Bombyx mori: one gene and its partner. The protein of the gene in region 1 purifies or fractionates together with the protein of each later gene. This does not show direct contact. Links are inferred from orthologs where the notes say so. Each region holds a gene or a part of one and is shown in the gene's direction. Other genes may lie near its edges. The genes, in order: protein timeless homolog and TIMELESS-interacting protein.

Region 1 (4,494 bases):
GACTATGGGCTCCAGTAACCGCTTAACACCAGGTGGGCTGTGAGCTCGTCCACCCATCTAAGCAATAAAAAAAAGCATTTCCGTTTTCGGGGCAACAGTTGTACTATAAAACTGAACCTTAGAACTCATGGTGGTATTTACAATATTAATGTTTATGAGCTCCGCTTAATACCAAATGGAGCGTGAGCTCCTCCACTAATAAAAAAAAAATGTGTGCGTGTACTAGTGTACACACGTAAGAAGTGAAACTTCTTTATGGCCTTATTTTTCGAAAAATGATCTACATGCAACTTTCTAGAAATTGGTTAAATAAAGTTAAATTAGATAAAGTTTAAACAAAAGGATTTTATTATCATAGACATGAATACAAAAAAGTTAAATTAGATAAAGTTTAAACAAAAGGATTTTATTATCATAGACATGAATACAAAAAAGATGGCGCGTAACGGAAAAATGTGACACGTAACCGAAAAATGTGACGGTAAATTTTTTTCCAACGCCGATAAGGAAGTTTCACTTCAAAAATCGATTTTATATTTCCAAAGCCTAAGCTATATAAGGCATGGATAAATTAATGACAACAAATTTTCACCATTCAACTTCATTCAAGGCTTTATCGTTTAATGTTTTAATATGTACCTGAACTGATTTTAAAACCGTCTGTACACTACAGGAATGGATGCTGTCATATACTCCAAGAACTGTTACAATTATTAAAACAATATGAATCGGTTTTGTACTTGTCACTGCTGAATTATGGAATAGGATCGGCACACACGCTGAACTATATTTAGACCCATAATAAATGAGGAGGATTCAACAATGGCAATTTAATTGGGGTACCTGGACATGGAGGTGCCAAGGGAAATGAAAAAGCTTACGAGCTAGCGAAAAGCTGACATGACTTGAAATATGTGAAAGAATCTTAATGAGGATGATGAATAATCCATCTGTTTACTCAATCCCTAATGAAATAAATAAGACAGGACATGATGGATAAATTATAGCTGTAGCCAATTCATTTTTGTTATTCACGTGGTCAACATAACTGCTGCATTCACCCACAGTGTGTTTCAAATACATATTTTAAGCGTAATATGGGTGCTATAGTGATTGGCACTCAGGATTAAAAAAAAAACATAAAATAGTAGTTAGTACTACCAATTGATGAACAACATATTTTTTGTACAAAACTTTATTTTAAGTAGAGACAATATGGAAGCCAATAAGAAAACACCCTCTCTGTGTATATTTATAATATTCACATTGCCTTGGTAACCGTAAATGTCTAGTTCTTGATAGATTTCAAAACCGAGCCCCTAATATGGTTATTTAATCAGTGTTTCTTTCTTTAATATGTAATTTTTTCAACAGTTTCAGAGGGCTTGTTTATCTTTATTTATCGTAGTGTTGATTTCCAACGTCGACATCTACCTGAAAATTGTTTGTTTCTGAACGAAAATTCGTTTCGCGGGCTTTTAAATGTCATGTCATTTTAAATGTCATAATATAATTGGGTGAACTTTTATAACCTAAAAAATATTCAAAACAAAACAGCTTTGTAAATATTTATTATTATAATACTCTCGGATGTAACAATCATTTGATAAAATGATCATTTCCTGTTGTGAATAGTGAAAAGCCAAGATCTTATACGAAGTAAAATAATTTGTACATACCATTTTCAATAAATAAAATGTCTTCATTATTATCAGCTGAACTTTCTGCTACTTGCAATGCCCTTGGAACTTTTGACAAAAAAACCGGTAAATACTTAATTGATGAATTTACCATTAATACCGTTAAAGATCTTATTCGATATTTGCGTCGCGATGGTGAAGATCATGAAATAAGAAGGCATTTGGGCCAAACAAAAGTGCTACAAACTGATTTACTTCGGATGTTAATAGATCATTGGGAGAATGCTGAACTGTTTGATGTAACTCTAAGGTAAATTCTTTAACTTCCAACTATCTGGTCAATTTGAATGGTATCCGATTAAACAATGTCTGTATCTTTCAGACTTTTAGTAAACTTGACAAACCCAGCTCTGCTCTTGTACAGAGAAGAAGTACCAACCGAAAGAACAGCGAGACACAACTATTTGCAAATACTCACGCATTTACAAGCATATAAGGAAGAAGCATTTAGCAAAGTTGATATTTGGAATGTTTTCTCACAAAAACTAGCAAAAATATTAGAAACTGTAAGTTACAGTAAAAACAATTTATTGTAAGATATATTTAATAAGATTCATTGGAATTGATCTTGTCAGTAAAATTTTATTCCTTGCTCATATGAAAAAATTTATAACTTAGGTAATCCACAAATGAATATTAGGTAACTTCTAAATACTCAGATATTGTATGTTTGTGATGATGATAAAATACCTTCTTAATGTTAAGATGTACATCATTAAAAAATAATAATACTGATCATCGTGAAAATTTATACCTTAAAATTTTACATAGGTTAGAAAACAGATAAAAATAACCATAATAATCGCAACATAACTTTTATTTAACTTATAACTGCTCAAAGTTGGCAGACACAGCAGTTATTCTTAAACAGGTTTCTCTCTCGCTATGGTATAAAATATTAAAAAAAAACTAACTGTTAATTTATAAAAATATTACCTGTTTATCCACTTCAAATATTACAATGCAATATTGCACCAATAAAGCAATGATAGGACCTGAATCATATATAAAAATTCTAATGACAGTTGCCCATAATGTACTGAAGGACTAATCCAAAACTGAATGCACTATGTAGTGGAGCAATGCCTCAGGGTTAACACATACTCATAAGTTTCTATGTGAATCTGACTATAGAGAAAGCCAGGTCTTGTAAATGTTAGCCAAGAGATTTGGCTGGCTATTTTGACAGGCCTTCATAGAACATTTGGGCTCAGGGGCATACATAAGATGAAACTTACTGAAAGTGCAACAGGCTGCCTTTAAAATCAAAAATAATTTAAAAATCAATACTTAAACAATTTGAGTATTTTTATATTGCATTATCATACATTGAACAGGACTGGTCAGAGCGAGATGAGGACACAGGATTGATAATTGAAAGAATATTAATTTTAATCAGAAATGTGTTACATGTTCCTGCTGATTTAGATAAAGAGAAAAGGCCTGAAAATGATGCTAATATACATGATCAGGTAAATAATAATTTAATTTAATTTAATTTAATAAAGAATACTCTGGTATGTACCATTACTGTTTGATAAATGTATTTTTTTTATTGCCCTTATAGGCAGACGACGATATAGGCATATGGCCCACCTGATGGTGAGTGGTTACCGTCGCCCATGGACTTCAGCAATGCCAGGGGCAGAGCCAAGCCACTGCTTACCGTATTTCATGCATTTAGCATGAGACTGATTTATTAAAAGACCTTCTCTATCACTTCAATTGTATATTGATAGTGTGTCAGATAATTTCATTATATCAACTACAAGAAACATTCTTAAATTACGCAAAAATACAATATATATTTCATTCATTTTATGAGCTTTTATAATTTGCGTTAGCTGGTTACTGTCAAACTATTAAAAATAATCTAAAATGCACATAAAACAAATATACTCAAAATTCTATTACACTAAAATTAAATGTACTTTTTAGGTATTAATTTTTTAAAATAATTTTAGGTTTTATGGAGCCTAAATCAATCAGGTATTTTAGATATTATTTTATACATGTCATCAGAGAATGAAAAGCAGTACTTTATGCATATAATTGAAATAATATCACATTTATTGAGAGAACAAAATCCAAGCAGTCTTGCTGATGCTGCATTACAAAGGAGTGTGGATGAAAAATTAAAAGATGAACAGGAATTACTATCTTTAAGAATGACAGAAAATAATCTAAGACTCAGCAAAATTAAGCAGTACTCTGCCACAAGGTATCGTAATAAACATTGTTGCAGTACTAAAATAAATGAATAAAATTCCTTCAATAATGAGTTTATTCATAATTGTTAATCCAAACCTGATACGATTAGATGAAAGGAATTTACTTTGCGTTATATACAATTAATGATATTAAGATAAGGGTGATTATTCAGAAATATTTAAATTTGTTTTGCTCCAAACAGCAGACAAGTTTCCTATGTCATTTTTCCATATAATATTTTAAATTAGCAATTCAAAAAGAAAATGATAAATGACTGTAAAATTTTGAGAGTTATTAATTTTGTCACCAAACAAATAAACCTACAACATTTAACTTCATATTTCATATGGATTATCTCTTCCTTTAATTATAAAATTATGTGGATTTGTTCATAAAAGATTTTCTTATATATTTAAACTTTTTTTAAATAAACTGTGAAAATAAAATAGCCTAATGAAACTTAAAAAATTATAATCACAGGCACTCTCGATTCGGAGGAACATATGTTGTGCAGAACATGAAATCTATATCGGACAACGAGATAATTAGCTTGAAGCCATTAAACGACATATCGAAATTAGAT
Region 2 (3,412 bases), on another chromosome or scaffold:
AACCGTAACTAGTAGGTGAGCTCACGGGGCTCAAACCTGACGACGTTGCTAACACGAACCCTAGCAAGAGCCGTGCTTCGCAGAATCTACCACCGGATCGGAAACGCGACCCACTGAGAAGATCCGGCGAGAAACTCAGTAGGGATACTTGGGGTCGACATTTCGAGCGATGTCCAGTTTCGGAGTCATTTGGAAGGCAAAGCCAGGTTGGCGTCCAAAATGCTGGGAGTCCTCAACAGAGCGAAGCGGTACTTCACGCCTGGACAGAGATTTTTGCTTTGTAAAGCACAAGTCTAGCCTCGCGTGAAGTACTGCTTCCATCTCTGGGCCGGGGCCCCCAAATACCAGCTTCTTCCATTTGACTCCATACAGAGGAGGGCCGTTCGGATTGTCGATAATCCCATTCTCACGGATCGTTTGGAACCTCTGGGTCTGCGGAGGGACTTCGGTTCCCTCTGTATTTTGTACCGTATGCTCCATGGGGAAGTGCTCTGAGGTATTGTTCGAGATGATACCGGCATCTCGTTTTTACCACCGCACCGCCCGCCACCGGAGTAGAGTTCATCCATACTACCTGGAACCACTGCGGTCATCCACAGTGCGTTTCCAAAGGTTTTTTTTTGTCACTTACCATCAGACTATGGAATGAGCGCCCCTCCACGGTGCTTCCCGAGCGCTATGACATGTCGTTTTTCAAACGAGGCCTGTAGAGAGTATTAAGCGGTAGGCAGAGGCTTGACTCTGCCCCTGGCATTGCTGAAGTCCATGGGCGACGGTAACCACTCACCATCAGGTGGGCTGTATGCTCGTCTGCCTACAAGGGCAATAAAAAAATATATATATGCGTAATACGCGAGAATAAACTCAGCTTTTTTTTTATTGCTTAGATTGGTGAACGTGCTCACAGCCCAGCTGGTGTTAAGTGGTTACCGGAGCCCATAGACATCTACAACGTAAATGCGCCACCCATCTTGAGATATAAGTTCTAAGGTCTCACTATAATTACAACGGCTACCCCACCCTTCGAACCGAAACGCATTACTGCTTCACGGCGGAAATAGCCGGGGCGGTGGTAGCTACCCGTGCGGACTCACAAGAGGTCCTACCACCAGTGATTACGCAAATTATAATTTTGCGGGTTCGATTTTTATTACACGATATTATTCCTTCACCGTGGAAGTCAATAGTGAACATTTGTTGAGTATGTATTCCATTAGAAAATATGTTAGTGTTATGAGTTTAAATTTTGAATTCTTCGGGTGTCGAACGCGAGTTCGAGGAGTATGGTAAATAGTGGTCGAAATGCCTAAAAGCACCAATGCAATCCGAAAGAACGCATCTGAAGTCAACAACAACTCTAACATGGCAGCACCTATCTGTCACTTTGTCATGTCTATCTATCTATCTAATGTGTTGATAGTGGTATTAAGAATGTGAGTGAATAGGTATTCATTAAATCTTGGCTTGATATTGAATGCCCTGCATTGTGTATAAATGCAGGTGTCTATGGTTCGTTCTTCCCTTTCCTCTCGGTGCCGTTGCACGGTATGCACGCTATACTTTAAGTTCCTAATTATAATATTTACTAGCTGACCCGGCAAACTTCGTAGTGCCTCAATCGATAAATAAAAGACCTAAACTTTTGTATAAAATAAACTTAAAACAAACAAAAGGAATCCGTCCGACGGGGCACACATCAAAGGAAAAACAAAATTGTTATTTTTATTTAATTCCGAGCCTTTTCACATTTTTTCACCTTTTAAATCTTCTATGGACTTCCACGAATAATTCAAAATTAGCCAAATCGCTCTAGCCGTTCTCGAGTTTCAGCGAGACTAATGAACAGCAACTCATTTTTGTATATATAGATTGTACTGTCTGTCCGCTTGATTACCATCAATAAACTGCTGGATGTTTACTTGTTCTGGAACCCCACGCAAGTTCCACCTGCACGACTAACACGAACCAAAGGCCCGCGTGTCATTGACCTGCTCTAATAAGTGGGACATGATATAATAATACTTTATTGTGAAAATGTTTGATTTCAGATCTCAAATACTACCAAAAGCAACATCGTCTCCTTCTATAAACGAAGAACAACGAGAAAGGATGCTTAGAAATAGGCAATTGGCTGAAGAACGGCGTTTGGCTAAGCTCAAACAAAATGTCAATGTTGAACAAAAGCGAATTAATAATGATAATTTAGAAACAAACAAACAGATTGATGATATAAACAAAGTAAACAATGAAGAACAAACACTACAAAATGGGGAAACACGATATAGCGATGGAATTGAACACAATGGTGCAGTAGATAATTCATTACACATAAATAAAAGTTTGATAGAAAATCAAACTGTCAATAATGATAATCATAATCTAAAAGAAGCTCTTAACATAACTAAAGTACTTGAGCTTCAAACTAAAAATAGCTCTCAGGAAAAACCTATGGAAATTCATAATACTGAAAAGGATACAACAGAAACAATTGAAAATATTGAATTATGTGTGCCAAATGATTTGATTGAAGCCAATATAAACCAACGAACCGAAAAAGTTACAACATCTATTAATGATAATACACAAATTGATGAAATAAATAATATGGATGAAGTTGACAAAGAAAATAATTTAGATATTTTAGTAGATGACTTACGTAACAATGAAACCAATGTTAGTAAAATAATAGATCACAGTAAAGAGACAGAAGTAATTGACCCCTTATTTATTAATGATTACGCAATGGAGATTAATTTTAGTGATGAGGATTTCTAATGGTTAAATGAATAAAATACAAATATTTTTATGGCAACATCCGCATTTCTATTATTTAATACAACAGTGACAATACAATTTTTTCCTACAGACACGGCTCACTGAGTTTCTCGCCGCATGTTCTCAGTGGGTCGCGATTCCGATGCGGTGGTAGTCCAGCGAAGAACGCCTCTTGCTAGGGCTAATGTTAGCAATGACGTCAGGTTTGGGCCCCGTGAGCTCACTACTACTCAATAACATTTTAATACAACGCGGGCAACTTGTCTATCAGTAAAAAAAAGTGCGTGCGTACAAAGTACACATGTCAGAAATGAAACTTTTTTGGCGAACTAATTTATAAGTCTTGCTTATATTTATACAAATCTAAAACTTTAGATTTCCGAGACTTAGAGGAAGGAAAAAAGGGAGATATGTTCCCGCCAAAAGTCTGTCAAATGTCAATCTCTAACCTCAGTGTTGACGGTCACATTAAGTTTAGATTTCTAAATTGTAAATGACTAATATTTTGCCAATTGAATTGACTAATTTAATTTCATGCTATTTGATTAATGTTCCAAATTCTTTTCATTTCATTTCATTTCAATTCCTATTAACATTTTTCACAAAAAAATTATAAAATACTGGACTGTATGGTATG

Evidence for each region.
Region 2: the proteins of protein timeless homolog (region 1) and TIMELESS-interacting protein purify together in Homo sapiens (affinity purification with western blotting; 6 studies listed by BioGRID and IntAct, counting the BioPlex papers as one, with this or other methods). This does not show direct contact. The link is inferred for Bombyx mori from reciprocal best matches to the Homo sapiens genes TIMELESS and TIPIN.

What each region holds. Positions count from the first base shown.
Region 1 is NC_085115.1:6,779,138-6,783,631, reverse strand, and holds the start of protein timeless homolog, read left to right. Parts: upstream 1-1,460; 5' UTR 1,461-1,696; coding exon 1,697-1,950; intron 1,951-2,022; coding exon 2,023-2,206; intron 2,207-3,037; coding exon 3,038-3,172; intron 3,173-3,664; coding exon 3,665-3,921; intron 3,922-4,391; coding exon 4,392-4,494. UniProt on the Homo sapiens protein: Plays an important role in the control of DNA replication, maintenance of replication fork stability, maintenance of genome stability throughout normal DNA replication, DNA repair and in the regulation of the circadian clock.
Region 2 is NC_085134.1:1,831,877-1,835,288, reverse strand, and holds the end of TIMELESS-interacting protein, read left to right. Parts: intron 1-2,048; coding exon 2,049-2,775; 3' UTR 2,776-2,812; downstream 2,813-3,412.